Drosophila melanogaster: one gene and its partners. The protein of the gene in region 1 interacts with the protein of each later gene in a pairwise test. Each region holds a gene or a part of one and is shown in the gene's direction. Other genes may lie near its edges.

Region 1 (6,505 bases):
AGCATCTGCAGCTGGCACTCCATCTCATCAGCAACCCCGGGTGCTGCTGTTGATGAGTCCATCAATGGGGCCAAACGCACGACCGCCTGGCAGACGGTGGCAAAGTCGCGCAAAATCTCGCCCACATTGGCGCCCTTCAGTTTACGTGCCGCTTCGTAGCTTCGAGCGCTTCCGTGGTCCAATGCGTGCTCCAAGGACAGTAAATACATCTGTGGCCGTGACCAGTGGTTATAGACCTGTGCGAAAACGATGTGTGCACCTCTGGTGTTGGCCAGTAGGGCCAGGGACTCGAAGCATTGGTCTAGAAACTGCTGCCACTCAGTGGCGGAGGTCTGAAATTGGATGAATGTCTAGATAAAATGAAGATCGTTCTAATGCAAGGTCTATTTCTTGGTTTTTGAAATTTGTCACCTAAAAACACTTTAAATCAGAGCTACTTACATCGTCCTCCATGAGCTCGTTGTCCAGCACTTCTAGCTCGGGTTTGTTGGCCTCAAACTGAGTGCGCCTCATAATCTCATCTACTAGCTGGGTAAGCACATTGTTATAACGCGTGATTTTGGCGGGGTGCTGGGCAATGCCTTTGATGATGGGTGTCCAGATCTCAAGCTTTTCGGTGAAGTCCAAGGCGCCGTGTACTGTTTGGGGAATACAAAATTAATAACTTTTGTTATATATCTTTGTCAACGACATTTCGAAATCTCGATCACGAGATGCACATAACCCATTTAATATTGCGAGTGTTTTATGACTACACAGCAAAAAGATCATCTCAAAATAAAAAATAAGTTAGCATCTCAAAAGGCAATATTTTTATCACGCGACTCACATTCAGTGGTGCAGCTGTATAGCAGATTGAGAAAGGTCTCCAGCAGGTCTGGCTCCTGCATCAGCTTGGCGGCATACTTGGTGGTGTAGAGGCGCAGCAGCTCCCGAAACTTGTCGCTGTACATCTCGCTCTGCCGCCGATTGTTATTGTGCTGCTCCAGGAGGCTGGTAACGCCGCCCATCAAGGGTCCTGGGAAGGGCAGTGGCTTCTGGAGGTAGAGGAGCTCATTCAACACAGAGAGAGCCGCCAAGGAGATGGGCTCATGGGCTGGTCGCCACTGGGAAAGGTCAAGTATGCTCATAAGGAAGTACTCCGAGATCAGTTCAGTGCGTATCCAGGAGACCAAGTGCTGCACACATCCTAGCAGGTCCAAAATTGAGGAACTGCGGAGTATATAGAGAGATGTTATAACAAAATGTTGTAATGAACATATGCTCTTTTGAATGTTATGATGACCCACCTTAATTGATTGTCATTTGGCAGCGCTGAGGTTAGACTAAAGTCCATGAGGGTGTTTGGTATGGTTGTTTGGATGTCTTTGCCATTGATGTGGCATACAGCGATTAGCAGATACTTGGTTACCAGGTCCAGAACATCGGGTACACACATGGAGATGCTACAGAAACACACGGCAAAAGGGAGCACAAAATGGGTTAGGAACAGTGCTGTGGCAACTGACCAGTAATTATAGTGCTTTCTCTCAACAAAGCAATATAATATGATAACTGGGTTAACGGTTCAATTAGTTGAGTTTTAAGAGGTCAGCTGACTTTAGTTGTTATGCCATATACATACTCAATCTCAATATAACACTTATTAATAAACCAAAAACAAGAACGGACTGACAAGGTCTGGGATTGTGTTATTCTATGTTGTGCGACGCAATCGTGTATTTAAACAAATAACACCAAAGTTAATAATAAAAATACGCTATGCTCGAAAACATCGACCATCTGATACGCCGTACTCAGTTAAAAATCCAAGTAGTCTTAAACAGACATTAAAAGTATGGGACTACAAAACCTTTTTTAAAAAACATACGATTTTAGCCTCTTCGCTCTATTTACCCACCAGGAGTAGAAGTACTGCTTCCATTCGGTGGTCAGGTCGCCCCTGTTGCTTACCACCTCCTCGGAGGTGATCTTAAGCAGGTTGATGCCAAGTTGAAACCGTGTTTTTGTCAGTTCCATGCAGTGTTGCATGTAATTGGGGTCCTGTTCAGGGAACTCCCTCTTTCCGAGTAGGGCTATCAACTGGGCCAGTGTGTCCCTGTGCCGTTTGGCCACATTTGGAGTGGCTACCAGTTGGGCATACGAGTTCCAAAGGGTCTCCCGCAGCAAAGTCTTGTCCGTGGACGTCAACTGTGTCCATCTCCGCGTGATTGTGTGCTCCAAGGTTGAGGTGCTGAAGAACCAGAGGAACTGATTCTCCGTGGTGTCGGAAGAGGTGGCCACACGGAGGCAAAGTTGCCACGCCTCTGGCTGGGACTTGAAGGCCAAGAGGTTTGTCTCGATCTCTCGTTTCCGGGCATTGGAGGTGCTGGGCTGATAAAACTCCTGCAGCAGTCCCTCCACCGTCGTCAAAGATGCGGCGTGCTGCACAGACAGTGGGTGGGTGGAAACCAATTCCCGGTTAGGTGGAATCACTCTGAATCACTGGCAAAATAGTGCGTTTGGCCCGGAGCCCCCCGCCTCACCATTTTCCGTGTCCTTTACGATCCTTCCGAGTATCTGTGATCTGGATGTTACGGTCACTGTGAGCTCCGCTTGCTCGCGGTTCTAATTCCGATCGCATCAGCAGTCGGCGTCCATTAATTGCATGGTTTTCTTTGTGTCTTTACACAAAAGGTGGCCAAAATCTACTCCGGGAAAGTGAACAAATTCCGCACGGCTGGCAACCCTGGCCGATAGTCAATAAATATCGATAGTTGTTGGTTATGGGTATTTTGAAATAAAAAAATTCTACCTTTCTTATTTTAATTACCTAAAACAAAATTTTTTTTAAATAAAATTGGCTATATAAATGTTTCAGCTAAAACTACGAGCGAGCAGACAAGCATCCAATTCAAATCCATAGTTATACAAATATATATATATATATATATATATATATATTATACAAATGTAATAAATTTTATATTTTCAGTCATTTTAATCTGATAAATTAAAAATGCTGGACTATTCCAAACAGCTCATAACCAGAAACATTTTGAATTTTCCGCCTAACCGCAAATTCGATCGATAGACGATAAAAAAATTGATCGCAGTCGGCGCTTTTGTATGTATTTTTTAATATGGTAGCACTATTCTAATAAGGCAATATTGTTAGCAAAACGGGACACTGATTAACTGTTAGCCTGCAAGTTAGGAAACCTGAAAGTAAAGGATTTTCAATTGATATTTCAAGACGTTCCTATCCGATCTGCCCAACAATCTGCCAGTATCTCATCATGGAAAACCAGGTCCGTAAAAAGGCGGCAAAACGATCGCGATCAGCGGATGGCGACGCCAACAACAATCTCACGCAGCGGAAGGTATTTGTGAACCAGAAAATGTGCGACTCCCGTGATCCTCGGAAGATGAAGGAGGTCCATGGTATGTAAATTGCCTTATTCGCACCAACTTATCTTGTTTCGATCCTGTAATGGAGGGGTGGGAGATTGGAGAGATAGCGCCGCTCAGAGCGCAGTTATCCCGGACTTGTTGCTCACTTCAGTTTGAACAGTTAGACGCGAGAACAAAAAATTGAGCAAAGCAGCGACCTCTAATTTACGATGAATTTACGCATAAATTTTTTTTTTTAATTTTTTTCTTGCTGTTCTTTTGCACGTCCCATCGAAGCTGAGTGTCTAACCCTCCTTTAAGTGTCTAACTCAACTGGAACTCTCCGATTTTCTATTTCTTTCGCAGAGAAGACAATCAAAATGCTTTTCGATGGCGCAGCCGGCAATAGGCAGGGTCAGGGCCAGAATGCCCTGAAGCCATTGGTACAAGGCCAGGAGGAGCCCGCCCTATGCGAGCAGTACTATCTGCTTGGCGATGGTTCCATCGTTCTGCGCAACCTTCGCACCGACTTGTCCAATCCGCGCCTGGAGAGAGTGAAATCGCGCTGCTGCCAGCGCCAAACGCTCATCCACGACATATGCGTCAACTGCGTGATGGATCTCTGCGAGGAGTGTGGCTACTCCTGCGGCGAGTGCTCCAGGTTCATTTGCCGCAGCTGCGTGACTTTATTGTGAGTTAAGTCCTTAAAAGAAGCATCCCCCTTGGGAACACCTTTTATTTGAAAATCAATCGACCATCATCTTATTTCCAGTGGTAATCGAGTTGAAGAAGAGAAGGATCCCCTGTGCGAGCACTGCCAGATGTTCTTCAGCTAAGGCTTTACACAATCCAGCACTTATAAAGTCGCGGTGCTTGTTAAATTTTAAGTTCTGAAGCAGTACAAATTTGGGACGACACAATGTCAAATGTATTACCAACCAGCTCCGTTTCACTTATGTCCTGTAACTGCTTTCTTTCCGGCCGATAGCCTGGATGAGATCCTGGCACAGGAGACTGGGCTGGGCTGCTCGGTCTGACATCAGGTTACTGTGTTCTTTTAACAGCACAATCAGGTTGTCTGTGAGTGCATTATACAGATCCACAAATAGCTGCCAACTGCCGCCGTGGCTGATCAAGTACTTGATGTCTACATCCAACATGCTGCCAAGAAGGCAATCCAGGGACTCTCCTGTGAGAGGGACCGTACGATTCCCGGCCAGATTGCGCTGGGCCTCTAGGAGTCATAGGGCATGACCAGAATATGCCAAGTCTTTGGGTTCCGGTTGAAATGGTCATTAAGGATCTAAAGAGAACATTATTAACTAGGGAAGGAGAATAAGGTACTGGGGAAGACTCACCGCTCCCTTCACGCTGCTCAACGAGCATTTGGCAAAGAGCCAAAAGAGTTAGCACATTCTGGAGCGCCGTGTGCTGCGTTTGCGACGCAGGGCGTGCCATTTGCTCCTCTTGTGAGGAAAGACGGCGCAGGAGCAGTAGGAAATCCTCGTTAGTCTTAAAGACAATGATCAGATATGTCGGAAGCATTCATCTATCCCTAGTTCGTCTAGGCATGGAGTTTTTAAGGTCAGATGCAGCCCCACAAAAGGACGAACAGTTTGCGAATTGTACTCTTCTTACAGCTTTTCAGGCCCCTGAGAGCGTCGAATCTTAGTCCGATCCTTATTATCCTTGCGAAATTCAACGCGCCAAGCATTCGAATAGAAGCTTGGTGCTGGACCGCAGGGCATCCTGGAGTAGCTCAGAGCTGAGACCATGGGCAGACAATCTTGAACAGAAATGGCCGACCCCCGCAGACCACGAAAGATGAAGAGGGTCCTTGGTATGGAAAGCATTGTCCCACTTGCACCAACTCACCTACTCTCCTTCCTGTAATGGAGCGGGTGGGAGATCGGAGAGACAGCGCCGCTCAGAGTGCAGTTATGTCGGGCTTGTTGTTGCTCAATGCAAAGATGAGTTCAGTTTAAACCGTTAAACACGAGAACAAAAAATGGAGCAAAGCAGCGACCACAAATTTACGAGGATAACCCCACGAAGAGATTGGCAATAAACTGCTACAGTGTTCAGAAATTCGCAATTGCAAGTAAGAATCGATTGGAAACTAATCGATTTTGTGATTTACTGATTTTGGCATTTTGAATAGGGTCAAGTCAGCTTGTTTCCCGCGATCGGTCTCACTATTTTACTGTCATTGCAATTTGGAAATTTTAAGGGTTCTGATTGCACTTCTCGCTGACCTCAAACAAATCAAGTAAATATTCTTTTTTTTTTGCTGTTATATGTCACGTTCCATCGAAGCTGATGGAAGAGCGGCGTCCTTGAGGTGTCTAACCCTGAACTGGAAATCTCCGTTTTGCTATTTATTTTGCAGAGAAGACAATCAAAATGCTTTTCGATGGCGCAACCGGCAATGGGCACGGTCAGGGCCAGAATACCCTGAATCCATTGGGGCCAGGCCAGGAGGAGCCCGCCCTATGCGAGCAGTACTATCTGCTGGGCGATGGTTCCATCATTCTGCGCAACCATTCCATCGACTTGTCGAATCCGCCCCTGAAATCGCGCTGCTGCCAGCTCCCAACACTCATCCACGACATATGCGTCAACTGCGTGATGGATCTCTGCGAGGAGTGTGGCTACTCCTGCGGCGAGTGCGCCAAGTTTATTTGCCGCAACTGCGTGACTTTATTGTGAGTTAAGTCCCAGAAGGAAGAAGCATCCCCCTAGGGAAACCCGTTAGTTTAAAAATCAATCGACCATCATCTTATTTCCAGTGGTAATCGAATTGAAGAAGAGGAGGCTCCGCTGTGCGAGCACTGCCAGATGTTCCTCAGCTAGGGCATCAAACAATCAAGCAAATGTCAAATGTATTACGTTTTAAAGAATATAGAGCTATATAGTATTTAACATTAAGCAAAAATCTTTGATCTATTCTTTGGAATGCTAGAAAACTTAAATCATGACCTTGAGTTGGCCAATGGCGTTTCCTTAACGTAAAACACACCTTTTCGAACAGCGTCGTGGGCCTTTCGGTTGCTACCATTTGGCGAATGGTGAAGATAAGCAGGAAGGGTGCGACTTTTCACGGCCAGTGCCTGCGTGGCGCGCACTGTGGCCA
Region 2 (8,474 bases), on another chromosome or scaffold:
TCCGTGGCACAACTCCATTAGCAGCACAACTGTGGCAACGGAAAGGTGACAACTTAGGGATGGCGAATAGATTAGGAAACCATGAAGTTACCCGCACCGCACGTGAAGTGCAGCAAAACTTTGCCGAGTCGCTCGGCTACGCGGAAGAGATAATCTGGGATCTGTAAGTACTGCTACTGCGCATTAGAATTTTGAATTCAAAGTATTTGGGGTAATGACGTAACCCCTTACAGGTTGTCCCATGAACAACATGACGTGCTAAGGGGCAAACTCTGTCAATTGATTCGTGATTCTCCGGAACCGAAAACTGCAACGGAAACTGAAAAAGACAGAAAAATCCGGCTGAAGGTCAACGCAGATAATGAGCGCGCCCGTCAGATCATTTTCGATTCCGTTTGGCAGCAACGTGAGTTGGACTTACAGATTGTATATAGTATAGTACATTTTTTCGCTGCCTTAACTGCGTACAATTGTTTTCCAGGAAAGTATACCAACCGTCAATCGCTGACGGCGATCATTTACGTAATGGTGGTAACTGACGAAACGGACGTCAATCGCGCCGAGGACGCCAGAGTCTTCAGCGTGCACCCAGTCTTTCGGGCCCGTCGATGCGTCGGTGAGTCATCCTTTGCATACGTATGCAATTTACAATATATTTCCTATCTATCTATCAATGGATCCATTTAATACTCAGTTGGCAGTAGTGGCACCAGCAGCGTCAGCTCGAATTGCTGCAATCTGTTTATCGACGAGCTTGGTCGGGTCTACCAAAACTGGGAGATGTATGTGACCACCAACGAGTTGCCTGCCGGAGTGATGGTGGCCCCAGAGAAGGGTATTTACCGCTTGGTCAGGGATCAAGTACGTCTGGATAAGTACACAACGCCGGCGGGCACGACCAACAGGAAGGTGCTGGGCTACCTGGATACTGGGTCGGCAGTCGGAGGATTTTTTGCTGCCTGTGTGCCCATTGCTGCCCTGCTAACGCTGCCCGTATCCGCTCCGCTGATGGGCGCAGCGGGAGTAGTAGGTTTGGCCAGTGCTGGATACGCCGCATCGCGGTCTGGCAGCAAGCTATTCGATCGCAGCCAACATGAGCAGTCTATCAATGTGACGGACCGCGAAGCGCGTGGTCACTGGTTGGGCGTGGCTGGTGGCACTGTGGGATTGGCAGCGGCTGGGGCCACCACAGTCTTGACAACGGCCACAAATGCTGGACGCGAGGTGGGAGCGGTGAGTCCTTAAACCCCCCCCCCCACGCAATCAACAATGGAATAAAAATGTTAAATATGTACTCACATAGATCACCCAACTGACTGTGAATAGCATGAACATATCCTCGATTGTGGTATCGGGCACTGGAGTTGCCAATGGTGTGCTGGATCTGATATTGGCAAGTCTCGAAACTTAGACTGTGATTAGATTAGGCTAGATAGATTAAACTTATGAAATTTATGATCTTCCACAGAAAGCAAAAGACGGTGACGAAATAGTTGCGATGGATGTTTTGCAATTGTCCGCTTCGTTGGTGCTGCTCACGCACAGCGTCTACAACTTTAAATTGGCTTCGACCATAATTAATGAGACAAGCAATGCTAATATTGCCGACTATCGTAAAAACCTTTCTAATAGGCAGCGGTAAAAAACGTTCAATGAGATACATTCTGTCGTAAACAAGAGTTTCTACTTGTATTTTTTTTACCATCAGGCGAACCTTTGACAAGGCTGCCAAGGAGACCGTTCGGATGCAAGGCAACACTCGCGGCAAACTGGACATTATACGCAACGTAAACGAAATTTCGCCACAAGAGTTTAATGATCTTTTTAAGATCAACAAAAACTTGAATCAGGAGGGCGTGCGATACTCATTCGCACCCGATGGCAAAGGATTTTTACTAAATGGCGATGTGCAGACGACGGGTGCGGAATTGCGAGCTAGTGTACAACATAACCAAGGAGGGAATGTCCTAGGCAAAGTTAGTCAGCCCATTCCCGGTAGCCATGCGGGTTCTGGTCGCCTTCAACTGGGCGGCGTTAATCAGGTTTCCCGTCTAATCGGACCGCTGCCCACATCCCATCCTCGACAGGAACCCAGTACCTATGCCGCCGGCGTGTTCGCCTTGGAGCTAAGCTCTGTGTTGGTGGGCGGTGTTGTTTTCGTACTGGAGAAATACGGAAAAATCATATTTGAGCACGTGATCAATGCTGAAAGTTTTGAGAGCCTAATCAACATCATGGCCAATAAGCTTGATCCAAAAGTCTTTGACCATATAATGCTATTGACCAGAGCCTTCATGGACACCATGCTGGAAGACCTCACCTCGGTGCTAAAGTTCTTTATATCAACGGAATCCGTTCTTTACCGCATTTTGTTGTACATTTTACGGAACTTCGAGGACGTGCAACTTTCGGTTATTGCGGATCACACTTGTGAGATCGTAGAAGCCGTAAGGGTGTACTTCATGTCCCTGAATCCAAATGCGTTCCCGGGTCTCCTTCAGAAGTGTCCGAAATGTATCGGCCACTTCAGCGTTTGTCCCTTGTAAGTGTTTAACGAAATGGTTCGTTTAACATTAGAATTCAAGGGCCATCAGCATGTCATAATTGATGCCCAATTGTTTAACCACAAAGAAACGTTAGCTAGTTCCGCAAATAATCAATGGGATAACTTACTTAATATGAGCACAAATTGACAAAGATGAAATTGTTTTAGCATTTAAATAAAGATTTTATTAACCCTGTTGAAATAATTGTAATAAAAGGAGAATTTTGAACCGGAATGGTTCTGATTTCCGGTTTTCGAACACAGAATATGTGAATCATTCATTGTGTAAAGGGGATTTTTTTTAATCTTTAAGAGTAATTCCTAAATTTACAATCTGATGTCATCTATACTATGGTATAATAGCAACAGCCATACCACCAAATCATTGAATGCCTTAGAATATAAGTCATAAATTCAAGTATCCCATAAGAACAACCCCAATTCTGGTGACAATAACAAATCCAGCCTGCCCTAATGTAACCATTAACATCTGCTGCCGAATCCGTTATTCCCACCAAAGGGTCAAAACCGCTAACGCAGCTCAAGTTCTCGGCTGATCAGTACCCATGAGCGATCCATCCACTCAAGAGGGCACCCAATCCAACAGACATAAACATCCGCAGGGGCTTTCGCGACATCAAAACCGCTTACGCAGCCCAAATCCTTGGCTTATCCAGTATCCAAAAGAATACAGATTATATTTTTTATCTAATAAATTACCGTGGATTCGTTATTATATATTTTCTGTTATCAAGAATTAAAGATAGTTTATATAGAGATGACAAGATACGAAACCAATCGAACTATCGATAGCTGGCGGTACTGATGCTACATGTCGCCATCTTTTATTAGAAATGGGCAGCTGTTTCATGTGGACGCAAATTAAATTGTAGATTTAACAACAATAACGACAACCGGCGTCCCTTTCAACATATTTTTTATTGGCAACCAAGTGTCGGTAGGTGAATTGAATCAAGCGGGATTACAATTGGTCGTTGCGAGAAATCGATAAGCGCCCTCTTCGGGATCCCGGTCATCCGCTGTGGGTCGCCACCAAAACAAATCCAATTTGTCCATAGGAATGCCAAGGAGGACAAAAAAGGACGAGGACCCCGAGGATCTGCAGACCTTCCTCAACAATTTCCATAAGGAGATCGAAGGCAACAGCGATGAGAAGGTGGTAAACACGATTTTGGAGGCCATCAGCGCCGAGGCCATCGACTTGGATGAAAATGGTGCGGAGGCTGGTGGATCGAAACCGATGGAGGAGGCGGAGGCTGATTTGGATCATGCGGAGGAAGCGGAGGAGGAGGAGGAGGACGACGAGGATAAGTATTTCATAGATGACGAGGGCAACTGCTATATCAAGACTACGCCCAAGAAGCAAAAGGAGCTACAAAAGAAGCTCAAACAGGCGGCTGCCAAGCCGGGGAAAGCTACACGTTCCGTGGTCAGTACAGCCACCAATAAATGTGAGTTACCCTTTGCCATATATGTGCGTGCATTTGTATCACTTGCTCGACTCTTTTTAAGCCATCAATTTGCGGCCAGCCAAATCGACACCGAAAGCGACTACTTCGAAGCCTCCCCCAGAACCCAAGGCAATTAGCGTTCGACCAGCCCGAGCAGCTGCAGCCAAGGCGAAGCAATCGGCGATGCCACCGCCACCGGCATTAGTGGTCAAAGTACCGGCACCCAGGGGCAGGCCTAGAAAGAACCCTGTCATACCGAAGCCTGAACCCATGGACTTGGAGCGGGAGCTCGAGGAGCTGGTAGATGAGCCCGACATCAGTTCAATGGTGACAGAATTGTCGGACTATACCGTAGACGAAGCTGCCGTAGAGGCAGCAACAGCTACGCTGACGCCAAACGAGGCTGAGGTCTACGAATTTGAGGACAATGCGACGACAGAGGATGAGAATGCCGACAAGAAGGACGTAGACTTTGTGCTAAGCAACAAGGAGGTGAAGCTGAAGACAGCTTCTTCTACCAGCCAGAATTCGAATGCATCGGGACATAAGTACTCATGCCCACACTGCCCGTATACGGCGAGCAAGAAGTTTCTGATCACGCGCCACTCACGAAGTCATGACGTCGAGCCATCCTTCAAGTGCTCCATCTGCGAGAGGTCCTTTCGATCGAACGTGGGCCTGCAAAACCACATAAACACGCACATGGGCAATAAGCCGCACAAGTGCAAGCTCTGCGAAAGCGCCTTCACCACCAGCGGCGAGCTGGTCCGTCACACTCGCTACAAGCACACTAAGGAAAAACCGCACAAGTGCACGGAGTGCACATACGCCAGCGTGGAACTGACCAAACTGCGCCGCCACATGACCTGCCATACGGGCGAGAGACCATATCAATGTCCGCACTGCACCTACGCATCGCAGGACATGTTCAAGCTGAAGCGACACATGGTTATCCACACCGGCGAGAAGAAGTACCAATGCGACATCTGCAAGTCGCGATTTACGCAATCTAACTCACTAAAGGCCCACAAGCTCATCCACAGCGTGGTCGACAAGCCCGTCTTTCAGTGCAACTACTGCCCGACGACTTGCGGTCGGAAGGCTGACCTGCGCGTTCACATTAAACACATGCACACCTCTGATGTGCCAATGACATGCCGGCGCTGTGGCCAGCAGCTGCCCGATCGCTATCAATACAAGCTGCACGTTAAGTCACACGAGGGCGAAAAGTGTTACAGCTGCAAGCTGTGCAGCTACGCTTCGGTCACCCAACGCCATTTGGCCTCACACATGCTCATCCACCTGGACGAAAAGCCGTTCCATTGCGATCAGTGCCCGCAGGCCTTCCGGCAGCGTCAATTGCTGCGCCGCCATATGAATCTCGTGCACAACGAAGAGTATCAGCCACCAGAACCGCGCGAGAAACTGCACAAGTGTCCGAGTTGTCCGCGGGAGTTTACCCACAAGGGTAATCTAATGAGACACATGGAGACTCACGATGATTCGGCGAATGCTCGCGAAAAGCGGCGTCGCCTTAAATTGGGCCGCAATGTGCGGCTGCAGAAAGATGGCACTGTCATCACGTTGATCAAGGATCAGTATGTGGATATGGACCGGGACCAGGAGGAAAACGAAGAGGATGACAACCCAGAGAGCTATGACTTGGCTGAAATCGAGCCGGAGAACTCGGAGGCTGAAGACGCCGATGATGATGTGGAAACCATAGTCAGTGATCCGATCCGTCAGAGAATCAAGCCAGCACCTATCATTATCAACAAACAGGCCAGGCTTGCCGCCTCCGAAAAGCAGCCGATGATCATCAATCAACGCCTCCGAAGTCAACGGGGCACCAAGACGTTCCACATCAAGGAGGAGCCGGACAACTCGGACTTCACCGTGGAATGGCAAGGGGATGATGGCGAGGTAATGGTCGTAGAGCTGGTTAATGGCGACGAGGAGGTGTTGGTCAAGCACGAACCGAGCGCCAACTCCAAGATCAGTGCCAAAAACTGCTTTGGTTTCGAGGTTAGTTGCAAAAACTTTAGCTGGCATTTGTTCCATTACTCAAAAATTTGGTTTTCATGCAGGACGACGATGATTATGAGGAGTATGGCGATGGGGAAAACGAGGTCGATGGCGCTTCCCAGGAGTTTCTGCAGCTGATGGATATGATTGAGCAGGACTCTTAGTCTCCTGAAAACAAAAGCTAATGGATAAGTAATTATGACTAACTTATGTACATACCAAGCATACAATAACGTATTTCTACGTTACATTGTTTTCTATTTAAATACACATTTAAAACAGTTAGGAAACCTATTTTTACTAGGTTAAGAAATGGATATTAAAAATGTATTCTTTCTAAATGAATGTATAATTCTGGATAAGCAGTTAACATGCCGATATGGCGACTATTTGTAAATGATCCCCGACACTTAAACTTTAGTTGACAACTTGGCATAAATATTTATTTAAATACATTTACATATATTTCAATGTTTTCATTAGTAGTATATAGTATATGGGCAAAATGTTAGGTGCGTTTGCGTTTAGCTGCATCTGGGCGTGCACTGTAAATTCTCGGCTATTAGTTGTCGTTTCTACCGTAAAATGTTCGCATAGTTTATAGTTTTCCATTTCCACTTCAGCAATCTGGTTAATTTTCTTGTTATTTTTCCGGTTTCTCTTGCCGTTTATTTCTTTTTGTTTCTTTCATGTGTATAACTACAATAAAAATATATATATTTTTATATATAATATATGTATATATTTTTTAGGTGGTGCAATGTGCAAAAACCTGCCGTGCAGTGCATCATTATCATTATTTCAATATATATAGTTGCGTTCATTTGTGTTGATTTTATAGTGTCTGCATAAAACATTAACAATTTGTCGTTAATAGTACATATGTATGTATGTATACGAATCGCATTTGTATAACAATTAAAATGGAACAACGTCGATAAAGGAAGTGCACATTGAGTTCCGAGTGAGTTAGATTTGATAAAATGACACTTAGAAATTGAAAATTGCTTGCAGAATTGAGTTACGAATACGAAACACACTTAGAAATACAAGAGCTAAAAAATTGCATATTCTATAATTCAGTAATGCTCTGCGAGATTTGCTTGATCCCCACCCCCCCCCCCCTCTCCCATTCGTTGGGCGAAACTAAAACTGGGGAAACTAAACGAGCTAACTAACTACGTAACTTTGAAGCAAAACTAAATTAAAAGTATAAAGTAAAATGTAAAAGTAAAAAAACAAATTCTTGGAAAGCTGTAATATGGCTCTTTGCTAGCTCAACGATAAGCTTGGCTTATATCAATTTACTTTTGGCTTAACAATTTTCTGTAAGGCTGCTGTTGGTTTTGTTATCCATCCCATTTCATCCGATTCACTATCAAATCCAAATCCTATCCTCCTCCTATTTCCGTTCTCATCGCTCTGGTTTCGGTTGACAGTAAGGTAGGGGTTCTCTGTGGGCTTTTCGGTTTGGCAAAGGGTAACATAAATCTCAGAATATCTTCAGCTTCTGCAGGAAACGCAACAGGGGCGCACTGAGGCACGCAGGCGTCGGCTGGCTGCTGGCCTGCTGCTGTCCCGGATTGGCGGCAAAAGAGGCTCTGCCGTTCGCAATTCACGACTGCTCCCTCTTTTGCCTCTTTGGCTGCTAATTGCAATTGAGCGTGTTCTGGTTGGGGCTGCTGCGTGAGACGTTGTTGTGATTGATCTGGTTCGACTGCGTGATGCTGGCGCTATCGCTCGTCTTCCACGACAGCAGCTTGTTGAGCAGGCGGTCCATGTACGGATTGCTACCCAAACGAGCCACCTGTGTGGGTTGAGAGATTACTTTAGTTTAGCACAAAACACGTAGCAACGATGGGATGTGTGCGAATTTCTACTTTTAACATCATCAAGACTTCCAAGCAACTTCCACTTCCCATTGCTTGTCTTCAAGTACTAACCTCCGACCGAGCCTCTGCGTCGAGCGACTCCAGAACCTTGCGTGTATACTGAAAGCTGCCCAGCTTTTCCAACAAGGTGATGCAGTACTTCTTGACCTCAATGTCGTGCGTGCGCTGGCGTAATATGTCTGTGGATATAACCATAAGCCATCAGCTTAATGAGTGAAAAGCCTTTGGTTGAGGTCAAGACGTTGGACTTACGTAGAACCTGTTTATCCTGCTTTTGGGTGCGAACCGCATGGATTACCGGGAAGCCGAACTTGCCCTCCGTCAAGTCCTCGGCGAAGCTCTTGTTCTCCGTGTACTACATCGGAATGTTATCACAGATTAACAATGACTTATGCATATTGCCAACCAATCTATACACTCACCTCTTTCAGACTCAGATTGCAATAGTCGTCGCGTATCTGAAAGTACAGGCCCAATATAGCCGTCAACTTCGAATAGTCCTCCTTGTTGGAGCTGAACAGCTGCATAAGGCGAATGGCC
Region 3 (8,086 bases), about 12 Mb from region 1:
CCCACCGGTGGCCCTTAAGATGTTTCAGCGCCTGGAGCACGAGGCTGCAGCCCTGAATGGTGGCAACAATTGCCCACCGCCACCACCACGTACGCAGCGCATCAATCAGACGCCCATTTTCGGTCGAAAGAATCCGCCAGTGGCAATCGTCGGGCAAAAACTACAGCATGCTGAGTCCCTAGAGGACCTGGCCTCCAGCGGAGTTGCCAAACAGCTGGCCACACCAGCACCCAAACGCAGCAAAGCCACAGCAACGACCAAAGGCGGCCAGAGCAGCAATCCGCCACTTTTCCTGCCGCCTAGCCTTAACATAAGTGTCGCATTAAATAGCAATGGAAATGTGACCACAACGACCAATACCAATAGTAGTTGTCCACCATCCGCATCAGACTGGCTGCCGAAGAAGCACAAGCTAACTTTGCCACTTCCGTCGGCCCAACAGCAGCGAACGAGCAGCAATCATCGCCTGCCAATGTGCAATAACAAAGGGAAGACACTGAAGCCACTGCCAAGTCGCACGGGCAGTCAAGGCATTCCCGCAAGCAATTGCGTCTCGCCGACGAGGAGCAGCAGGCCCGGATCACCCACCAAGCATCTGGCCCAGAGGCACACAGCCGCCACGGCGCAGCGACTGACAAATGGTAAGCGCATAACCAACAATTTTATACAAATCAAGACTTACACACACTTTGCACCTGCAGCGGCCGCCACTCACCAGCAGCAGCATCAGCAACAATCCTCGAAGACGACGCGCCTGAATATCCTGAGTCCGGAAAAGGTGCATCGCCTGGGCGCTCGACTCACCGATCAGAAGCAGAAAATGCGCGAGGAGGCCGCAGCGACGGCCTCGTCCGTCGGAGGAGCCGGTTGTGCGGCAGGAACAGCGGCTGGAAGCTTAAATGGTCATCGGACCATCGGATCCTCCGGCACACCGAATTCGGCGGTCGGTGAACGGAGGAGGCGAGCAGCTCCATCGCCGCCAGTTCGCACGCATTTCAATACGCGCTGCTAGCTAGACGAAGTAGCCATACTCTCTATTAACGATTGTCAAGTGTTGTGCGCAGTTTGTTGTGGTTCCACTCAGGAAGCTGTTGTAAGCAGCTTAATGTTCTACAAACAAACTGTCGTAATTAGCGTAAATCTTTGAAGGATATAACTGTTGTAACTTCTATAACCAACCATTCGCCATTTGTATCGTACGGAATTAAATTTCCACGACATGTAGAGGCACTTTTTTTTTTAAATACATAATGACTTTTAAAGTGTAATGTAACATTAAGAACCAGTGAACTGTGCCGCTGTTATAAACGCAACTGTTATACGCACATAACAAGATCAACATTCCGACGAAAGTGTTTATTTTTTTTTTGATTCCAACATTTGATTTTAAGTTTCAACTGAACGAAGGTTAAGTGCCTGATAGGAATGAAAAACCAATAAGTTGCAATATTTACACGGATTGTATAAACCAAGCGAATAATTATAGTATGTAAGATTACAGGGTAACAACTGTCTCGACTAACCTAAAAAAAAAAACTGAACTAGAAGCAAAGCTAAGCAAATACTTGTTTAACCCACTATTGTCTGACATAAAGTTATATTGCGAAAGAGATAGCGAAAGACGGATAAAGAGAGAAGGAAGAAACTTGTGCCATGATGTTGATGCGAAAAACGAACGAATCTGAAGAATCCTCGAGAGAGGGAGATCCCACCCGCAAAAAAAAGACAAAAGGAACGAAAAGAACTTTAACTAGAAAAATTGTGGTTTAAATATTTTTTGATAAACAGCGTATATAAATGTATTTGTATATCTATTCCATAATTATATAGATAAACGTATTCCATGTTAGTGCTTAAATCTAATTTATTATTTATCGATTCTCGACCCATTCACCCCGTCCCCTCATTCCAAGAACAATAATTAACAATGCTAAGAAACAAACTTTTTTGTATTGACGAGAATAAGTCTAACTCCTATAACTAAATATATAAGAATGTTTTTGCTCAAAGGCAATTTTAGTTGTAATTGATACGAACAGACATACAAACACACACACACGCTAACTGTTATACAAATGAAACGCACACGCTCAAGCCTAATACTGTTATACTGTGTACTTTATATAGCCATTATATACCTAAACCTATATACATATAGGATCGAAACGCTTGCAATTAACTGCTTACATAAGACATTTGAGTCGGGCCCTTGTTATACGGACGTATGCCAGTAGAACAGTGGCCGCGCCGAACCGATCTAGCATTTAACTATCTATATACAACAAATATGTGCGATATTTTTTATATGCAGCTAATTTAATGTGTTGTATTTTGACCCCACACCACCTTGTAACTACGTTTATACGCCTGCTTTTCGAAAATTGAGTAACGCTTATAGAATTTTCGATTCAATTCTTTATGCCTTTTAACAGTTGAACATATATAATCAGTATAGCAACATTTTCTACCCACTTGTAAATAAGTTTATAACTAATGCAGTTTTTGTTGCCTACTTATTCGGGAGTCGAAAGGTCTGTAATTACAAATAAAGCTTGTGTATAAACGTAGTTCGTAGATTCTCTTTTGATTTTAATCTTAAAACATTTTTTGTTAATAAAAGAGGAAATTAAAAAAAAACTTTTAAACTTTCTAGTGTCTTTATTGTGGAATTTTAATTTTGTGGCAATTTAAAGAATATTTTTATATCTTTAATTGAGCCAAACATTTCATAAATAAAATCTCAAATGAAATGTTAAGAAGCGAGTACAGTTGCGCGTGCACGGACATAAACTTATGGCCGGGACTGTATGGAAAGGTGGGGGTGTAAGGAAAGGACCCCGTTTACGAGGTCGTTGCTTGTTCGTGTGTTTCTGTATCTGGTGGCTCCTTTTTCCGCATTTCCTTTTAACAGGATGTACGCACAGATACGGAATTTGTCCCAGACCATGGTCGGGAAATCGATTCAGGCCAAACGCCAGGAATACGAACACCCAAGCATTTTCGCCTATACATATGTACATATATGCAACGATATGCATACACATACATGCTTGCAGTTTGTGGTCCTGCGCAGTGCTTTACGGATGTCCTTGTTTTTTTTTTTTTTTTTGCTAGGAATGAGGGCTTTTAATTTCATTAACAGTTACAGAGCTCTGTTAAGTCAGCTGTTCGCCGAGCGAAAGAGACGGAGCATACCAGATTCAAGGTCTACATAACTGTATCCTATGTACATACGTTCGGTATCTATACGAAAAACGGATGTGTATCCACGAACTTTACATGGTATACTTACAGGCGGACTTTGGGGGAAGGACTTCGTCACTAGATTCCGTTTCGTGAATATGACGTGCAGGCACGTACGCTGGCAGGGTCGTAGCCCCAAAGGGGGTTAAAAATAAAAATAAATATTATTTTTAATTACTTAAACAGCCAAAAGGGTTTATTTTTAATATTTGGGCGTAATATTAGGAGCAATATATTAAAAGCTATATATATTAATACGAAATAGTAGAATTACTATGCTCAAAATGATGCTAAATTTTAAAGAAAATTTAAAATTTCCTTAGCTTTATCATGGTTGAAGTCTTCGCTACAGTCTCAGCCACTTTGGCAACCCTGGTTGAAGTCCACTGAAAGGTTCGTGTCTCTGATATAAGCCAGTATTTCAGGTATTTTCTTGGTATTTCCCATTGCGGCAGCGAAGATTTTTTAGTACATTTCGCTTGGCCCCTGGGGTATATTCTCACATACCAGCCAAGGCCACACTCTATCAGCAAGCTGTGTGGCGTCCGGTCGCTTTTTCAGTCATTCGTTGCGTCGCTGCGATCTCATCGTTCGTTTTGTTCCTACACGTTTTTGGCGTCGTCGTACATTTACGTGTCCCGCTTACTCGCGCGCACCCTCTCTCTTTCACTCTGCGGCGCGCGTGCCTAAGTGTGGTGTGTGGTGTGTGTGCCTGTGTGCGTGCGTGTTGGCGAGCAGCGCGGCGCAGCACAATAGAAAAGAAGAAGAAGAAGAAGCTGAAGCTGAAGGAAAAAACATAAGTGAATTTTTTTCGGGTGGAAGCGCGGTGAAATATGCGTGCGTGCGCGCGTGTATATGTGCGTGTGTGCGAAAATCAATACGAAAACATGAATAACAAATGCTAAATAAGAAAAATAGCTACAACGCACAACCGAAAAGAAGCTGAAACAAGAAAAAAGAAAGCGAAAAAAAAGGAGAAAATAATAAATAATAGGAATTGGGAATCCAGCAGGAAGGAACAGTTAGCCATTCCAGTGAGCTAAAACAGCACAAACCCATTTCCAGATCCAGCCCATCCAGGGCTTCCAATTGACAGTTGCCAATTGACAGTTGACAGTTGCTAGTTGCCAGTTGACAGTTTCCAGAAACGCAGCAGGATGTCGCTGCAAACGAAAAGGCAGCACTGCTATCTGTGCGATTTACCCCGCATGCCCTGGGCGATGATCAATGACTTCTCGGAGGCGGTGTGCCGCGGTTGCGTCAACTATGAGGGCGCCGATCGCATCGAGGCGGTGCTGGACGCCGCCCGCCAAATGAAGCGTCTCCATCCCGCCAGCAAACAGCAGCGTTCCCATGAGAACGGCGAAGTGTCCGCCGCTGCAGCGGCCGCCGTCGTCCTACAGCAGCAACAACAGTTACAAGTCGGTCCAGTTCCGGGACAAGGACCGGGTTCCCATCGCGGCGGAGGTGGCGGCGGTCCACCGGGTGCTCCGCCCGGAAGTGGTGGTCCAGGTCCGTCGGGCGCCGGTTCGCTCAGTTCGCTGGGCAATGCCGTTGCTGCTGCCGCCGCCGCTGCTGCAGTGCATCATCACCATCAGATGCCCTATCAAATGCCAGTGCCACGCATCGGTCCGCCACTGGACTATCCCGTTAAGCTGGAGGATGCCCCCGGTGGCGGCGTACGACCCGTACGCATTTCACACATGACGCCCCACCACCTGCCGCCAAATGCGACCCGCGGCGGTGGCGGTGCACCCGGCGGCGGCGTACCCACCGCCGGCAGTGGCGGTGGCAGCCTACCGCCCGCCCTATCCGTGAATTTAAAGCGTCCGCCCAGCGAGGATGTCGATGTGGATGTAAGCCAGCAGCAACAGCAGTCGGGACACGGCCTGGCGCCAGATGGCAGTGCTGGCAACTCCCTATCCGCCGGCGGAGGCGTATCCGGCGGTTGTCCGCCCGGCATCAAGCGCAGCGCCATGGACGATCCAAGTGGCGTGGGCGGCAGACCGCCATTGACGCGTGGCGAATCCCTGCCAGCGGCGGTCAGCTATGTGCCCGAGCGTCAGCTTAGCGGACTCCGTGATAAGCAGCAGCCGGTCAGAGCGCCCAGTTTCGATGCATCGACCTTCAAAGCAGGTGAGCAAACATGACATAGATCATTCAAAATACTTGGCACAGTGGTTACCCAATAGAAAGAACTTTGCTGCAGCAAGTAATGGGAAAATTTTTCATTTGCAGTAGGGATTCGGGAAAAGCAGGAGTAGTTTCAACTACCTTGAAAACTACCTTTCATAATAATTAGAGTAAAGTGATCAGAGTCTCAAAAGTGCCGCGTTGATAAATATTTGGCTTTATAAATGATAGTACAAAACACTATCTATCGTGGTGGAAAACAGATTTGGGATAATCCCCTATCAGTGATGGATTTCTTATCACTTATAGCGATCGGATCGAATCGCCAGTGGGAAATACGCGATATGGATTAAAAAATGGAGTGACCAGGGGGATGTTGTTTCCCAGCCACAGTGAACACTTGATATCTTCTAAAGTATATTTTATCAAAATATTTCAAATACAAAACTCTTCGAGGGGTGATATTTCAGTTTGCTTTGATAGCCAATGTCAAACAAAAATAAAAACTTGTTTAAACAAACAAGTGAGTTAGAGGAAATTTTTTTTTGCTAATTTCAATCTAAGATTTGCTGGATAAAATTAAACACTATTTTATCCTCCGGAAACATAGGAAATTTGCTTAAATCCTAAGTTTGAAAAAGTTGGCGGCCACTGTATTTGTTTACCGTTTCTTACCAATCCCCCGCCTTTTTTTTTTTAATATGAGCCGTGATCGCGGGATACAGAGCACTGTTTCTGCCTCGCTCTAGCCTGGATGTGGGTGGAAGGTCGTGGTGGGGGAGTGGGAGGAAGAGAGGCGGCGATATAGTGGCACACATACCGCTTATTCAGGGCAGAGTGAAACGGCGTGATTGCCTGCTCCTTATCTCTCCTTACTGGAAGGCGAGCTAGAAGAAGACTGCGCTTCTCATGTATATGCACGTACACATTTACGTTTGCATGGATGATAAGGAGCGTTGTGTTGGAGATTAGATAACTCATTTGCTTATCAGCGCGTCCTTATCGCCACCCAATGCGTATGTATAACTCACACATACACGCATACGTGCACATGCATGCATGTACATTCAAACAGAAAAAGAAGCGTATAAACGCATTTTGCAACCCTCTGTGGAAAAAAGGGGCTGCTAACCCTTGCCATTAAAAGGCATGCGCACATGCCAATATACATATAGGGAATATACATGTGCATGTACCGCGCAGACACACACGCGCACACAACTACGTGTTCGTTTACATGCACGTACGTAACAGTCGCAATGGCAATAACAAAAAACGGCGAGAAAAAAAAGCGCAAAAAGCACACGAAAAAAGGGCCGCAGAATGTAATATAAACAGAGACGTGCAAAAATCGTCGACGCTGACGTTGTAATGTTCTCGCTCTCTATCTCTTTCTCCCTCCGTCTTCTGTCGCTTTTCTCTTCTTTCCAAACTGGTTTCGTGCGCTGGTGTTGGTGTGTGTACCTTTTGTTTTTTGTGTTTTTTCTTTCTTGTCTGCGCGCGCAAAACGTCATTAAACTTGTTTTGGTTTTCGCTGCTGCTTCTTCTGCTGTTTCTCCGTTTTACGCTATGCGATAACAAGTTGCACACACACACACATACGCACACAGTCGAACCTGGGTGTAGATAAATTTTAGTTGGTATACGAATTACGGAACGAGCTGCAGTGACAACAACAAAAAGAGACACTAAAGACAAGATGAAAAAAAAACTTTTTCGCTCATACCGATGCCGTCATCAAACAGTGGGGCAAACAAAGCTTAACTTAATAAGAAAAAGAACTATTATCTTAAGATTCCATTATTTCTATCCCTTGGCTTGTTTTTGAATCATATAACGTGGTTAACATAATTTGACTTTGCTCAAATCTTTAAAAACAAATGCCAATAGGAATAATTGCTTTCTTCCAGACAAAAGGCAATAAGAACTTGACAGAAAATAATTCCAATCATATTTCTGGAATTTCCCACCTAACGCCCACTGTGCCAATTTCGTTTGTTGTTTTGTATTTACGTTACGCTTCTGCTTCTTCCTTCCTGTGTGTATTCGTTTCATTACCAAAAAAACAGGAAAAAAACCAACTCGGGTACATATTTATTGCGTCTGTGTATATACTAAAAATATAACAAACATTTTCTGGGTGTACAGAGGAAAAATTGTACAAATTGTATGTTGCTATATGTATGTATATTTTAGTATGTACAAACTGATAAAATGGAACGGCAACGTGCGCGCGCCACCCCCACTCCACACCGCCGCTCATTTGCCCACCTACCACCCTCCCCCTCTTCCTTGTTTCGTTTCATTCAGCGCTTCGTGTTGCCGGCTAAGTGTGTGTGTGTATCTAGTTCGTGTGTATGCATTTACTGACTGACCATTCCAATGCGTTCGCCAGGAATTCTGTTCGTGCCTTCGGTTTGATGGTGTGAAGAGGGGTAGGGTGGTGGGTGTTTGGGCGGAGTGCATCTCCCTCTCCCACTCCCACTCTCTCGTAATTTAGACATTGCGTGCTCCGTGCAGCTGCAGTGGCGGCAAGTGCGAGCGAGATGGCTAGCTGGAGTGCATGGCCGCTGTTAACCGTTAAAACACGTGAAGTAGCAAAGTCGCCGCCGCTGATTAGATACAGCAGCGCCCATCAGAATATAATCATTGAAAAATTTCAACTTCAATTGTGGTTCCTTCACTGTGGGTCATTATGTTTAAGCAGAGG
Region 4 (7,100 bases), on another chromosome or scaffold:
CGAATACCATAAAAAAACTTGAGGAAATCGAAGCGGAAATGATTACACTAACCACTCAAAAGGAGTTGGAGAGGTGTGAAATTGCAGAAAAGCTGGAGACTTTCAAGTCCAAGGAGGCAGATATCAAAGAAGCTCTGCACTGTGCCCAGCTCAGGCTTCATGCCTACGATAAGCTGGTGTGCGAGTACGAGCGGCTAAAAGGCTGTCTTTCGGATTCAAATAAGTTGTCGGAAAATCTGCAGAAGAAAGTGGAGCGTTTGCATGCTGAACAGCTTGCTTTACAAGAAGGAATTTCCGGCCGAGATTCAGAGATTAAACAGCTTCGCTCTGAGCTCAAGGACGCCATTGATGAAAATAAAACAGTGAGAGAAGCAAAAGTAGGCCTGGAAAATAGTCTTAAAGCAGTACAGGAAAATATGTCTGCCCAGGAAGGTCAGTTTAAACAAAAGATTGCTGATATTAAGGGTTCAGTAGACGAGCTTCAGATTAAACTAAAATCTCTGCAAGAAGTAAGAGACCATCTAGAGTCTAGAAATGAAGAGCTTAAAAGAAAGCTAAAAGATGCTCAGGAACTACAGAACATGGTGGATAAGGAGCGAAAGCTCAATTCCTCTCTACGAGAAGATTTTGACAAACTGGAACAAACCAAACTCGATCTCGAAGAGCAGCTTCGAGCCAAGAAAGTAGAAATCGATCGCCGATCCAAGGAGCTTGGCGAAGTGACCAAGGATTGCGAAAATATACGATCCGATCTGGTAAGTTTTATTTATTTAACGCCTTCACTTTTGTATTCTATTATATTTTATTCTATACCAGGAAGCTCAAACTAATGATTTCCTAAAAGAAAGGGAAACTTTGAACTTGACTATATCCGATCTTCGGTTGCATAATGAGCAATTGCTAGAAACCTCGAAAAATTATCTATCAGACATAACAGCAGCAAATAATTTAAATCTCGAAATGAAGAAGAATCTTCACGATCTCACAAAAGAGTGCAAGAGCTTACGTTCCGATCTGGTAATAATTAATCTGGTAATCTATCTGGTTGATTACAATATAGGTAATTAAAATTTTTCAGCAATCCAAAGAAGAATATTTCCAAACGCAAAAGCAACTGTTGGATGAAACAATTTCTAATCTAAAGGAGGAAAACCGCAAGATGGAGGAAAAGTTGAGTTCGGGTAACAAGGCGCTCAAAGAGGATTGCGAAAAGCTCCGTTCAACATTGGTAATATTAGACTTGTCTTTGTAGGTTATTCGGTCGCTAATGAAATATTTATTTAGGAATCAAAGGAACTTATACTGCAACAGAATAAACAAGAGTTAGAGGAAAGGCTGACTGTTATTAATGAGAAGAATGGGAAAAACGCACTACTTGACGCCCAGTTGAAATCCAATGAAACCGCCTTTACATCACTGCGAAAGGCATGGATTAAGCAAAGTTTAGCCATAGAAGCGGCCAATAAAAGAAGCCTCGAGATGGAACAGAAGGTTGATAAACGTACGAGGGAGTACGAAGAACTACGATCAACTCTGGTAGAATAATTGCAATCAAAGGCTCTTATAAAATAGCTTAATGTTTTCTCTTTAAATCGCCTAGAAAACCAGGGAAATCAACTTTCGATCGGAGAAGGAACGCATGGACGGCACCATCTCTAGCCTGTTAGAAGACAAGCGTAATCTTGAGGAGAAGTTGTGCACAGTCACCGAGCTCCTGGCTAAGCTAAAGCGCGAACTGCCGGCTTTACACACGCAAAAAGTGAACGGAGGCGATGTGTCCATTGAGTTGAATTCCTCGAATGGATCGCCGACTCCTGCAGCTGTTCCAGCAACAAAGAAGCCCCTGGACTGCAATTCCGCTGAATGTGTGCCAAAGGTACGTATGATCTTCTAAATTTCAAGCATGTAATATTTTTTTTATTTCTCTCGTAAAGAAATCCAGCAGCCTAGAGACTGCGGAGCGGAAGAATCGACGGATGACGGCCTACGATGAGAACCGTAAGCAGTTTTGCTGAAACGACTTACGTGACGGCGGAACTACGACCGTTCCTTTAGGTAAGTTAAGGTTTGCTTGGCCGCGAAATCGTCTAAACTTTATGTGGTTTTAACTAATATTGCAGGTGGCAATTGCCACTGCGAGCAGCGGAGCTGCAAACAAAGACTGAGTTCGGACTGGAGGCAAAACGTTGAGTTCAACGATGATAAAAAAGATGATTAATGTTATCCAAGTATTAGGGATTTCTTTTGTTAGGTGTTATCTTGCAAACGGTGGAATTCCACATCATAAAGTTTTCTATTTATATTTACGCCCTAAGTATTTGTCAAATACTATCAATACAAAAATTACAAAAACAATCGTGATCGTAGTATTTAAATTTAAATCTGTATTATGCTGGTTTTTGTTTAATAGTTAAATTCGATAAATAGTTAAATATTGTTAATTAAGAAATGTTTCCTTCATCATGTGTAATAATATTTGGTTCATATGTATAGCATTGAATAAACTATTTACATTTTCTTAATGTTAAAATCAGATTCGCATAAGTTGCTGGTTCTAATAATAAAAGACATAAATTACTTAAATGTAAATCTAAATAAGCATAACGCTTCTTGTTTGAATTCCCGATTGCACCAATCGATAAGTCGATAGTAGCGCAAATACATATTCTAGTGTTGTGCATTGGAAAATTGACGGCCGCTTGAGTGTTGTGTACGGCGTCAGTGTTGAATAGCTGCGGACGCAAAACTACGTAAAATTACGACAAAAAAACAGCGCCCCGCGAAAAAAGGCCATGAACTCGGCAATCAAGGTAGGTTCAGCCGCTCCACCACATCCGCCGGCAGCTCCGACCGCGTTGATCCCGTCGCCAGCGCCTCCGCGCGTTGCAAGCGAGAAAAAGGCGGCGCGGGAGAGAGTCGAGAGTCATTCGTTTGTCTCACTCCTGCGAGTGGGAAATTTGTTGTTCCACCGTGAGTGGGCCGGCGGGCGGTGGGCAGGGGCGGTGCGTTTGTTTTGAATTTGCACGCGGTAACAACAAACTGACTCCGGATGCAAATCCGCATGCACTTGCAGGTGGGGGAGATATTCACGGCCGCCGGACAGGCGTTCAGCAGACTGGGCGATCTAACCATGCAGCTGCATCCCAATGCGGAGTCGCCATCGGGGTAAGTTGATTCTATGCGGTGGAGTCGCGAGTTTTGTGGACACTAATCGGAGTGTTTCTGTGTGCCTTGTTCCCTCGCCACGGCTGCAGGAAGTGGACGGACGAGGAGATCGACATGCTGCACTCGTCCATAATGCGCTTCTCCGACGACCTGACCAAGATCAGCCTAAGCATCAAGAACCGCACCGTGTAAGTGATCCTGTGCTCCTGGCGAGGGAACCGGCTGCCCAGTGTGTACGTGCTAGTTTTAATTGACCTTCCCCATTGCAGTTCTCAGATCCGCCAGGCGCTGAAGAAGAAGGCCTTCGAGGACGCCGGCATTCCCGCCAAGCAAGTGCCCGTCCAGCAGGTGCAACACGTTCTCCAGACGCTGCCACAACAGCAGCCGCAGCAGCCCCTTCAGCAGCCACCTCCTCAAGTATTCAAGTCACAGCCAATCGTGCAGCACGTACAGCTGGTGGCGCAGCCAAAGCAGATCATCCTGCATCCACAGTCTAATACAACTACGACGGGCACGACGGTGACTGTTAAGCAGTACCAGCAGATGCAGAAGGCTGCGGCATTAGCGGCAGCCCAGGCTGCAGCCTCGACGGCCAACAACACGCCCACCATCACGGAGAACATCATTATCCAGCAGCCCACTTCGACTACGGCGACAGTGGTGCAGCAGCCACATATGGTGTCCACCTGCTCGTCGACGCAGATCGTGGTGCCCGTTGTGTCGGCAGTGTCCACTGTTCCAACAGTACTCTCGCCCACGGTGGTGATTGCCGACGATGTGGTTAGCACCTCCAATCCTCCAGCGGCAGCGGCGACAGTAGGATCGCCAGCAGGGGCGCCAGCAGGCTTAAAGTGCGGACCAGACGTGTCCATGACCCTCAATCGCATCAATGTCCAGGAGAACGAGGTGGACGTGGAGGAGTGCCTGCCCGCAGAGGTGGTCAAGCTGGATTTTGTCAGCGAGGAGGTGGCCGGGTGAGGTTCGAGCCCTCGGAACGGGCTGGACTTCTTCTACTAGATCTCCGGCCGCAGAACGAATCACGTAACTTGGAACAGAACCGCTACAAATCCAGATCGAGAACTCTTAAGCAAAAAGGTTGAGATGCCGCCCTAGCCCTAAGTCTAAACTGTTAAGTGTTGTCATATTTGATATACCCTGAAATCACCTTGTTCCGGGCCCCGGATGACAAATGAATTGTGCGATGTGGAGGACGAGTCTGTGGATCGCCAGCCACAGAGCGTAGATATTAATTGCGGAGCGTATATGCGCCGCCTAGACTTAAATTTACGCAAGACACAATAGTGCAAAGTACATAACGACGATCGTGTAAGTTGAGAGTGAATAAACGAGCATTATTTTAAGATTCGGCGATCTCTGGGATTTTATTGGAGTTAGGAAAGCCCAAGGAGCGTAGAAATTTAGTTATTTGCAATGGCTTCTACAATCTCATTGCTGTAATTTGTACTTCATACTTTTATTTTGATCAGACTGTATTATAAAAGCATATATATAATTATATTTTTAAAGCACCCAATGCAAACTCAATTGTGTTTCTAATGGTCCGCTAAATTATATTGCATTTTATCTTTATTTGAATGTACCCATCCAATTTATGGGACCTATTTTATAAACCTTTCCTTTTAAATGCACACCACGTATTTTAAATTCATCCAATTATTGTACAATGAAGTCTCGAGAAATTTCGAATGCATTTTCAAATTTCGTTCTGCTCATAATTGCGCTCGCAACCCATACATTGCCATTCGCATGTCGGATTTCAAATCCGCACTTTCAGAATTTCCAAAGCGGGTAGCAAGAAGAAGAGCGGCTAATAAAGATACGGATACATCAACAACAACAGTCGGAAATCCATTGTTCCCCACAAAATGAGACTTCGTTTGCAAGTCCTGGTGGCCCTGTTAACCTGCTCGTCCATTTCCGTCTCACTGGCCTACAAACCGGTGGTCATACTCCATGGAATTCTATCAGGAGCCGAATCGATGGCCTCTCTGGTCCGGGAAATCGAAGAGGTTTGTTTTTCGATTCCCCTTTGTTATTGTTTACAGTGGCAAGGTCGAATTTGACGCAAACAACGCAGTAGCACTGATAAACTCATTTCGTCCGTTTGTAGTTTCATCCTGGCACTATCGTCTACAACTGCGACAAGTTCAATGGATGGTACAGCTTGGAGAACGCCTGGCGACAGGTCGATCAGGTTAGGGATTATCTCAACGAGGTGGGCAAACTGCATCCAGAGGGCATCATTGTGCTGGGTAAGGCAGCCGATTTTCATTAGAGTATTTTCTTTTAGTTACCAATACTATGCCTTTTTCAGGATACTCACAAGGAGGCCTTTTGGCCCGGGCGGCCATCCAAAGTCTGCCCGAGCACAATGTGAAGACCTTTATATCTCTATCCTCGCCACAGGCGGGGCAATACGGCAGTAAGTGAGATCAAAGTTTAAACCAATGAGTAAATTCTATTTATATAGATGCATAACTGCGTCACATTTTTCCGGGCTAAACTCTTTTAAAGCTTACAAGAAACAAATATATTATGTAACTGTGTTCAAAAATTACGCAGTTGGGTTATAAAACAAAGGGGGATCACAATGGTTCAAGTTTTTATTTTTTGGTAATATTTTCAGCTAGCTTCTTGCATCTAATCTTTCCCGACTTGGCGGCCAAGACAGCCTTCGAATTGTTCTACTCGCGCGTGGGACAGCACACCTCGGTTGGTGGCTACTGGAACGATCCGCAGAGGCAGGATCTCTACCTGAAGTACAGCGAATTCCTGCCACTGATCAATAATGAGAAGAAGACCTCCAACTCCACATCTTTTAAGATGGGAATGGTGCGTCTAAATAAGTTGGTAATGATCGGCGGACCCAACGACGATGTGATTACTCCGTGGCAATCGAGGTATGGTTTACTTAGTCGGATATTATCAAAGGTGAAATAACCACAAATCGTATATATTTCCTCAGCCACTTTGGTTACTTTGACGAGAATATGGATGTGATTCCATTTATTAGGCGACCGATTTTCACCAGCGACTCCATTGGCATCAGGACGCTTCAGGAGGCCGGCAAGCTTATCATTGTGGTCAAACCCCATGTTCATCATCTTGCCTGGCACACGCGAAGGGATGTCATCCACGAAGTGATATTTCCATATCTGGACTGAATAAGAAACCAAAACTACTGAACTATACTGAGCGATCAAACGGCTGTGATCGGAAAGGCGGACAAAGGCTCACTCTCATCAATAAGCATTAATGTGAAGTTGCTGCCTGGGTAATTAGGCTACAAACATGATCTTTTATTGGTAACTAAGCTATATATTTTTAAAACAGCCTGCGTATTGCAGCAGAGATTTTTACAAAAACTCATAAACTACTTATAAATAGCCAAATAAAGTGAAACTAGAAATTTTTAAATTGCAATTTCAATGATATATATTTGGATATTAAAATGAATCGTTAAAGTTTATATTTCATGTCGTCAAATTTGTTTGTTGAATTTAAATACTTAAATCTCCCGCGCATTTTTAGTTACTGATAGATAACAATAAGCGATAACTTTACTTATCGCTTAATGAAGAATCGATATTTAATCGATACATCCGCGGTCTATGTGATGGCGAAATAGGGCGTAATATCTTATTTTGTGAATTTTTAAGTTGCCCAGTTAACCATGAATGGCACCACGACAGCAGAGCAGGATGCTGACAACGTGATTCGCATCCTGGTGGCTACCGACAACCACCTGGGCTATGGCGAAAAAGACGCGGTGCGCGGCGAGGACAGTTTCACGGCCTTCGAGGAGATCCTGGAACTGGCGGTGTCCGAGGATGTGGACATGATTCTGCTGGGAGGTGACCTCTTCCACGACGCCGTGCCCAGCCAGAATGCGTTGCACAAGTAGGATTTGCATG

The links.
Region 2: the proteins of CG13373 (region 1) and CTCF interact in a two-hybrid assay, tested with the Drosophila melanogaster proteins (one large-scale study listed by BioGRID).
Region 3: the proteins of CG13373 (region 1) and Pits interact in a two-hybrid assay, tested with the Drosophila melanogaster proteins (one large-scale study listed by BioGRID).
Region 4: the proteins of CG13373 (region 1) and Ppt2 interact in a two-hybrid assay, tested with the Drosophila melanogaster proteins (one large-scale study listed by BioGRID).

Annotation. Positions count from the first base shown.
Region 1 is NC_004354.4:473,869-480,373, forward strand, and holds CG13373 (uncharacterized protein), read left to right. Parts: upstream 1-3,115; 5' UTR 3,116-3,278; coding exon 3,279-3,423; exon of another isoform or gene 3,424-3,738; coding exon 3,739-4,063; exon of another isoform or gene 4,064-4,144; coding exon 4,145-4,208; 3' UTR 4,209-4,323; downstream 4,324-6,505. Other genes in the region: ebo (ellipsoid body open), read right to left, coding at 1-332, 442-638, 830-1,212, 1,290-1,445, 1,901-2,424, 2,526-2,528; CG32817 (uncharacterized protein), read left to right, coding at 5,776-6,077, 6,162-6,225.
Region 2 is NT_037436.4:7,351,610-7,360,083, reverse strand, and holds CTCF (CTCF), read left to right. Parts: upstream 1-3,370; 5' UTR 3,371-3,503; exon of another isoform or gene 3,504-3,624; 5' UTR 3,625-3,626; coding exon 3,627-4,017; exon of another isoform or gene 4,018-4,078; coding exon 4,079-6,042; intron 6,043-6,104; coding exon 6,105-6,206; 3' UTR 6,207-6,506; downstream 6,507-8,474. Other genes in the region: pst (pastrel), read left to right, coding at 60-163, 234-616, 695-1,233, 1,304-1,393, 1,469-1,638, 1,709-2,546; qm (quemao), read right to left, coding at 7,691-7,849, 7,986-8,113, 8,187-8,289, 8,357-8,474.
Region 3 is NC_004354.4:12,578,865-12,586,950, reverse strand, and holds the start of Pits (protein interacting with Ttk69 and Sin3A), read left to right. Parts: upstream 1-3,757; 5' UTR 3,758-4,400; coding exon 4,401-5,379; intron 5,380-8,086. Other genes in the region: LIMK1 (LIM domain kinase 1), read left to right, coding at 1-641, 702-1,012.
Region 4 is NT_033779.5:11,275,321-11,282,420, forward strand, and holds Ppt2 (Palmitoyl-protein thioesterase 2), read left to right. Parts: upstream 1-4,977; 5' UTR 4,978-5,051; coding exon 5,052-5,195; exon of another isoform or gene 5,196-5,257; intron 5,258-5,296; coding exon 5,297-5,438; intron 5,439-5,500; coding exon 5,501-5,608; intron 5,609-5,812; coding exon 5,813-6,086; intron 6,087-6,151; coding exon 6,152-6,350; 3' UTR 6,351-6,600; downstream 6,601-7,100. Other genes in the region: cana (CENP-ana), read left to right, coding at 1-755, 817-1,017, 1,079-1,228, 1,285-1,536, 1,601-1,876, 1,935-2,015; CG33695 (uncharacterized protein), read left to right, coding at 2,793-2,810, 3,074-3,165, 3,255-3,353, 3,435-4,143; mre11 (meiotic recombination 11), read left to right, coding at 6,860-7,086. UniProt on the Drosophila melanogaster protein: Catalyzes the cleavage of thioester bonds from S-palmitoyl-CoA or S-palmitoyl-N-acetylcysteamine (unbranched structures) but does not have activity against palmitoylcysteine or palmitoylated proteins, branched structures or bulky head groups.